Linked DNA regions of Saccharomyces cerevisiae S288C. The protein of the gene in region 1 interacts with the protein of each later gene in a pairwise test. Each region holds a gene or a part of one and is shown on either strand. Other genes may lie near its edges. The genes, in order: RDS1 and RMD6.

What was found.
Region 2: the proteins of RDS1 (region 1) and RMD6 interact in a two-hybrid assay, tested with the Saccharomyces cerevisiae proteins (one large-scale study listed by BioGRID).

Annotation. Positions count from the first base shown.
Region 1 is NC_001135.5:309,335-313,956, forward strand, and holds RDS1 (Rds1p), read left to right. Parts: upstream 1-1,623; coding exon 1,624-4,122; downstream 4,123-4,622. Other genes in the region: ADH7 (NADP-dependent alcohol dehydrogenase), read left to right, coding at 1-821; AAD3 (putative aryl-alcohol dehydrogenase), read left to right, coding at 4,556-4,622. UniProt on the Saccharomyces cerevisiae protein: Zinc cluster transcription factor involved in resistance to cycloheximide.
Region 2 is NC_001137.3:11,458-15,178, reverse strand, and holds RMD6 (Rmd6p), read right to left. Parts: upstream 1,460-3,721; coding exon 764-1,459; downstream 1-763. UniProt on the Saccharomyces cerevisiae protein: Required for sporulation. Required for meiotic nuclear division.

The DNA.
Region 1 (4,622 bases):
ACCGTGTTGGTGTTGGTGCCCAAGCCTTGGCGTGTTTTGAGTGTGAACGTTGCAAAAGTGACAACGAGCAATACTGTACCAATGACCACGTTTTGACTATGTGGACTCCTTACAAGGACGGCTACATTTCACAAGGAGGCTTTGCCTCCCACGTGAGGCTTCATGAACACTTTGCTATTCAAATACCAGAAAATATTCCAAGTCCGCTAGCCGCTCCATTATTGTGTGGTGGTATTACAGTTTTCTCTCCACTACTAAGAAATGGCTGTGGTCCAGGTAAGAGGGTAGGTATTGTTGGCATCGGTGGTATTGGGCATATGGGGATTCTGTTGGCTAAAGCTATGGGAGCCGAGGTTTATGCGTTTTCGCGAGGCCACTCCAAGCGGGAGGATTCTATGAAACTCGGTGCTGATCACTATATTGCTATGTTGGAGGATAAAGGCTGGACAGAACAATACTCTAACGCTTTGGACCTTCTTGTCGTTTGCTCATCATCTTTGTCGAAAGTTAATTTTGACAGTATCGTTAAGATTATGAAGATTGGAGGCTCCATCGTTTCAATTGCTGCTCCTGAAGTTAATGAAAAGCTTGTTTTAAAACCGTTGGGCCTAATGGGAGTATCAATCTCAAGCAGTGCTATCGGATCTAGGAAGGAAATCGAACAACTATTGAAATTAGTTTCCGAAAAGAATGTCAAAATATGGGTGGAAAAACTTCCGATCAGCGAAGAAGGCGTCAGCCATGCCTTTACAAGGATGGAAAGCGGAGACGTCAAATACAGATTTACTTTGGTCGATTATGATAAGAAATTCCATAAATAGTCTATATACGTAATATTTTTCAGAATCTCTTAAAATGCATGTCAAATCTCGGAATTTATCATGACCCATTACATAACAAGAGAAAAGTGGTTTGCATTGTATGTATACCTTAAACCAATTCTTCGGTAGTCACATGACCTATATATAGGGACATTCATTTCTTGAATAGGATATTTCTTAAACTTAAGGGAAATTTTGATGAAAATTTAGAATCTCTCGACAACAGTGCAGAGCAGTAAGTTTTATTCAATACGAAATGTGTGCAGGGTTTTACCCATTCATGTCGAGTACGTCTACATTTGTTCTGCGATTTAACTTAATACTTAGCCTACTCATATGTATCGAAGCCAAACTATTAAATCTGAAAACTGAATACCCATTAAGTAGGTACATTAATGCAATTTTCGTCCGAAAGGTAGAGTGTTAATCATGCTTTTACTTCGAAATCTAGAGTCCGAGCATGTCTGATGAGGTCCTCTTAAAGCACTTCAATTTTAAAAGAGAAGAGCGCAAATTTTTACAAAGAATGCCTATATTAATATACTGTGCTATCTAAGAGGATGGTTCAATGGTTTGAAATGAGTTGAAAAATAAAGATTTACATAGTAGCGTGTATTCTTCACATTTTTGCATTCGGTAGATTTTCTACTCAAGACCCGTGCAGATCACTATTACACTCATTATTACAAGTCATTGAGAACGAAATTTTGACATCATTACTAATAATGTTACTCATTAATACTTTATTAATGTAAGCGGTAGATAAACAAATGAACATGAAATTGGCTGCTGAAATGCTCTGATGGATTCGATTACAGTAAAAAAACCTCGGTTAAGATTGGTTTGCCTGCAATGCAAAAAGATCAAACGGAAATGTGATAAACTGCGGCCTGCTTGCTCGCGATGCCAACAAAATTCATTACAGTGTGAATATGAAGAGAGAACAGATTTATCTGCCAATGTTGCAGCAAACGACTCTGATGGATTCAATTCCTCTCATAAGCTCAATTTCGAACAGCAACCTGTACTTGAAAGGACTGGGCTTAGATATTCCTTACAAGTGCCTGAAGGTGTCGTTAATGCTACGCTGTCGATATGGAACGCCGAAGATATGCTAGTTATAGTAGGATTAGTTACATTTCTGGATTATCCTTTTGCTGCGCATAGTCTGGCGCAACATGACCAGTATATCAGGGCACTTTGTGCTTCGTTGTACGGCATGGCGCTTGTTGACTTTAGCAATTATGCTAATGGTATTCCTTGTGAAGACACATCAAGAAGTATACTAGGACCATTGTCATTCATAGAAAAGGCCATTTTTAGACGGATAGAACATAGTAAGCAATTTCGAGTTCAGTCTGCCGCCTTAGGGTTATTATACAATGCATTTTCAATGGAAGAAGAAAACTTCTCGACTCTTCTACCGTCACTCATCGCTGAAGTGGAAGACGTGTTGATGCAAAAAAAAGACTGTGAAATACTTTTGAGGTGTTTCTATCAAAATATTTATCCCTTCTATCCTTTTATGGACATTTCACTCTTTGAGAGCGATCTCACTAGTTTGCTTTTACAAGACGACAATAATCGTTGGAAAATTAGTACTGAAGTTAAAAATGTGCGCAAAAAAATAGAAACTTTGTCATTACTTACAATAGTAATGGCCATGGCCTTGATGCATTCAAAATTGGATGCAAATCTTCTTTCAATGGTAAAAGAAAATGCCTCCGAAAGTGCCAGGAAACTTTCTCTTTTATGTCATAAACTATTATGCCTCCTGGATGTATTTCGCTATCCAAATGAGAACACTTTTACTTGCCTTTTATATTTCTACGTTTCAGAGCATTTAGATCCCGAGAGTCCCGATTGTGTACTGAGCCCCACTAACTTGCTTACTCTGCACCATCTTTTAAATTTGTCCATGACCTTAGGTCTTCAATATGAGCCTTCGAAGTACAAACGTTTCAAAGATCCAGAAGTGATAAGGCAGAGACGGATATTATGGTTAGGAGTTCAGTCATTACTTTTTCAAATTTCTCTTGCTGAAGGTGATGCTGGTAAATCAAATAGTGAATATATGGAGGCATATTTAACAGACTTCGAAGAATATATTGAAGCTTCCTCAGAGTATGAAAAAAGTTCTGCGAGTGAATCGAACGTGCAAATGAATGATATTGTTTGGAATAAGTACAAATTTCACGTCATTTTGAGTAAACTAATGTCTGATTGCACTTCAGTTATACAACATCCGCAGCTTTTCCACATTTTAGGAAATATTAAAAGATCTGAAGATTTTATGGCTGAGAACTTTCCTACAAGTTCGATTTACCAACCCCTTCATGAAAAGGAACCAAATGCGATCAAAGTTGGCAAAAGTACGGTTCTCGATGTCATGGATATTCAAAAAACTGAAATATTTCTTACAAATATTGTGGGAAGTATGTGTTTTTTAAACATTTTTGATGTCCTATCGTTACATTTTGAAAAAAAATGTGTTATGCACTGGGAAGAATATGAAAAGAACTATCATTTCCTTACTTTGAAAAGTTTCAATGCATACTTAAAGCTAGCAGGGTTGATATCTGATTATCTCGAGAATAAGTTTCAAGGGAACATTTTAGAGAGTCGCGGTTATATCATAGATAAACAAATATGTTTTATGCTTGTAAGGATCTGGATGTTCCAATGTCGTATTTTGTTAAGGTTTTCATACAAGCAAGAAAGTCAGAAAAAATTGGCCTCTTCCAGTATATCCACTAACGATAATGAAAAAGAAGATGAAATGATTGTCATTTTAGAAAGACTTATTAAACACATTCGTAACCAAATGGCACATTTAGTGGATCTAGCAAAGGGAAAACTTCAAGATAGTTACTTTGGTGCTTACCAAACTGTTCCCATGTTTAGATACGTTGTGTATTTGATCGATGTTGGCGGCTTAGTATCTGTGACAAATGGGTTTTGGGATAAGATTTCCAGTGATGGTGAAATACCGCCAAAAGTACAACAAGCCGTGAGATTGAAATGGGGATTGGACTGCAATAATTCGAGAAGAATCAAACAAAAGTTAATAAGCAGCCAGAGTTTGCAGAGTTTCAATCAAGTTCTGTTGTGCCAGATGGAGGATGCAGTTCTCTCCAGTTCCTTCGCAATAAAAGCCAATACCGCTATGTCCCAAAACACGGCTGAAGAATTTTTCAATATCAGCGAAGAAGAGGCTTTAAATCAACTATTGGAAAACAACAATTTTGATGCCTTCTGGGATTTATTAGGTGAAAATCTGAGCGATATGCCTTCTTTGTGAGAATACGGATATTTGGAAAGGCTAAAAAAAAAAAAACAAGCCAAAAACAAGAAACACTGTTATCCTCCACGTTTTTTCCACTGTTTTAAGACTCGACAAGACGGAAAGATTCCTCACATTTCGCAGTGTTTCTTTTAACCTGCTCGTCAATTTGAAAAAATGAGCATGGTTAGGCAGGCGGAATGTAATAGGTGCGGTGCGTATAAATAAGTATCTCGGCCGTTCCTCTATTGCGCTCGGCCGAGATGTCCTACATGCATAAAATAGATTAAAAAAAGGGATCACGATACTCAAATATGCATATAATAACAACAACACACTTTGCGGTAAATAGAAGGATAATATCGTAATCTTTTGCTGGTTTCGATGATGACTTGAAAAAATTCAATTACTCTTTCGATCATCTAGAAGAAGCATATCCATCGTGCTTAAAATGATTGGGTCCGCGTCCGACTCATCTAGCAAGTTAGGACGCCTCCGATTTCTTTCTGAAACTGCCG
Region 2 (3,721 bases), on another chromosome or scaffold:
TATAGGCCAATAGATTTAAGGTTAAAAAAAAATCATATCAATGGCATTTTAAGGCAACTATATTTTCAGCATTATATTTTACTTTTCCTTTATTTTTTATAAAGTGTCCAGATGGCACCTATTATACAAGCGCAAAATGACATTTGAAAATGTGTGTTAAAATCGCAATTGATCAACTTTAAGGATGATAGAATAAATTGCGTAATTCGTGAACTATAGAAAAGCTTTTTTATTTTGATTTTAGTGAAGGTAAGAAAACATCGATGCTTTATTTCTCTAAGCGCTCTCCAAACTAAGGGGGTTGTAGGAGAATAATAACGTATAGATGAATCACGCTTGATTTGATGGACAATCCCAAAACCATTTGAGATAACTGTAAAGGTTTATATCATAAAACTTTTATAGATGCTACTGCTATAAGTAGTGCAATTTGAATGTTTTTTTTTTTTTTTTTGATGTTACTATGCCGCCAATTATATAATAAATGCAGGAAAATCAACTATATAAATATTGCTAACATGACTTTTATTCGAAAAAAATAAATAAATATAGTGTTTATATTTAGGATTCCTATTCTGTATCCATCTGGAACCTTCAACATTGTAAATAGTGAATATTTATACGCACTTTTTTTTTGGTAGTAAGCACGGTTAGTTATAATTGCAGGAAAACAAGGAACCCACTTCTTTTTACTGTTTATATCAATATGTTGCTCAGCAGAACCTACAGTTTATTCAAATAGAGTGTGTACGGGACTATACCACTACAATCTATGATTTCCCAACTCTTTAATCATTTTGATCACATGAAAGTCTTTGGTAAAGTCAACTTTATCGTCAAATACCTTTACTTGGTGCTGTTCTTTGAGAACTTTGAACCTTTGCACCTCTACAAAGCCAAGCTTCTTTTCATAGTAACCCAATAGGTCATGCTCCATGATAATATCTGCAACCACTCTTTTACACTTATGAGACCGCATCATATGAATTACACTGTAATTGAATAGTTTTATACCATAACCATTACCCATGGATGTAAAACCTGTGATCTCATAACTCTCCTTATTATTTGGTTTGTAGCCGATGGTTGCTAGGGTATGTTCTGAATCGAATGCCTCTGTCAAAAACTGGACCTTCGGAATATAATATGTCGGTAGAGATAAATCTTTGTTTGTTTCACCTTTAAGCTGTTCAAAATGTTCATGGAAATTAGGGTATGCTAAGGTAGGATCATTTAATAATAAGTAAAGCGAGGATTTCTCTATATTCTTGTCAAAGCCCAGATCACTGAATAAAGTCTCAAGGCTGTGCACTCGAGGGCTAACTATGATGCCATATTTGAGTCTTGGGACATCATATCCTCGATTAATTGTTGTATACAAGCTATACTTAGTATCTTTAGATGAATTCTTCAAAATCTCGACTGGGAGTATAACGATGTTGCAAGGGCAAGCTGACATTAGTTTTGTTGTGCAAAGGGCATGATAGACTCTCGATATCTTCAAATAAGTCTTTCTCAATAATTTATGTAGAACCTTACGTTTTCAATCACGACCAAGAGTAAGGTGTATTATATCCATACTGTTTTGTGCATATATTCTTTTTTTGATTTCTTATCTGAAGGAAAAACAAGATCTTCAAAAGTAAAGTTATTGATCCCATATTGGTAACCAGATAAAAGAAAAAGGCAATATCACGTGCTTTTACAAATATTATTTCCAATTGGATTTCTGAGAGGTATGGGTGTCATTTCCTTAACGTTATTATAAACTAGCCAGAATGAATGTACAAGCGGGAGAGTAGCGTCGTGTGATACTATAAAACTCTGAGTGAGGGTACCGTCAAGATTCAACCATAGTGTGCAAGAAGTGTTCATCTTCACCACAGGGGTCATTTGAGCATACAATCCTCCAATGTCGGTAACAGACGCAGTTGCGGTTAAAGTCGTAGATGATTGCCCTATGCGCTAACAAGATATTCTTCAATAGGAGCATCTAAATTATTCTCTCTGAAAAACGAACAATAATCAACACTGGAATTGTAACCATTTTTACCCGGATGGGCGATCATTTCATTATTAACTAAAGTAGCTTTTCCAATACGCCTTGACTTTGTGGGGCAAAGATATTATGCTTTTATCATGCGAGAGATCTTAGGTGCCGCAAAAAAAGATTTTGCTGGCGTGCGCATATAAGACTGTTTTTCGTCCCTGCATTGAGATCGCATCTGTCCCTGAGTAAACGATGCACAGAATATTCAGGCTGTGATTCTACTAACTGAACATTGAGTTAGCACTTATATATTATAGGCGTAAACTATCTCACCAAACTTGCTACAATCTTCTAGAATTGATATTGTATTCAACTTTTTTAATGTATCCAACTGAATGTACTTGATAACCTTCGTTGCATTGACGGCTAGATTCTTTAACCTAGCTGCCGCCTCGGCCAATAATAGTTCCTTCCCTGATATTGACCTTACTAGTTTTTTGAGACACTTCACCAATATTCCAGCAGGACTTTAGTCAGGACCGCTCCAGCCCATATATCGCGCGCCTCCGGCAGAGAGTTAATTAGTGTGTACGATCTTAGTTCCAATGGTGAAAATAGCCCTCAAAACCTTTGCTTTCTCTCACCTAGCTTCGGAGGTCAGTATATTATATGTAAAAAATGCTAAATATACCTGCACTTGAATATGGTAAAAGTGGCGTTACGGATAATGCATTACTCAAGGGAAGTATACAATGCTAACCCCAAATATCAGACTTCATAACAGATTCAACTTTTCAGGAACCAAGAATGATAATTGACGTACTTTGCCTATTATTAAATTTTAATAGTGTCTAAATTTCACTAAAAGATTCATAAATGATCAATTGCAGTTTCCTCCGTAAGAACAAACGGATAACAGACTATGGTGAATAAGGAGCACAAGAGTTTTAAAGGTAGTGCCTCACACGCGCTGAATGTAAGCAAGGTCAATATAGCTGCTGACCTGAAAATGAGATAGCAAATGTAACATTGAATTTATCAACTAAGAGACAGTATAACATAAGTGAAATCAAGATACCCGGCCTCAAATCAAATAAAAGTACAATCCCCTCTTGATTAAAGAACAAGTATAATATTGCTTGATAGTGTATGGTTTAAAATTTTCTATCTTTCTACCGAACACCTTCTGGACCATTGTTGTTCCTTATTAAGAATTCTCAAGTTACAGTATTAAAAAGGCAATATATATTTAGTTCTAAAATGCGCTACTAAGTGCTGGGTAGTCTGATTATGGGATCACTTTATTCATATAGTATACAATATTCAGAGAGGCATTGACTTAGCTACCAAAAAAGTATTGAATCGTTTAATGGCTATGAGAATACTTTTAGAAATGGCATTTTCCTGTTCTGGTGCATGATGCTGGAATAATGATGCTAAGTTTCTTCTAAATGACTGTGACTAGGCGATTACCAAATAATATAATACAATTCCTTCCCTGCTCGTGAAGAGAGAAATTCTATGCCACACTAAATGCATCGCGATAGACATCCAAGATGAAGTCAACCTAGGACTTGGCCCCCCAAATTACGGAAATCGAATCAAATGCAGGCTCTATCTTTTATTACAACTGAAGAATATGGTTTTTGAGGATGTATAATGAATTCGAAATAGTATGATATGAGTCTGAATGAGTATTATCAGTAAATGATGAAGATGTATTTTACTGAA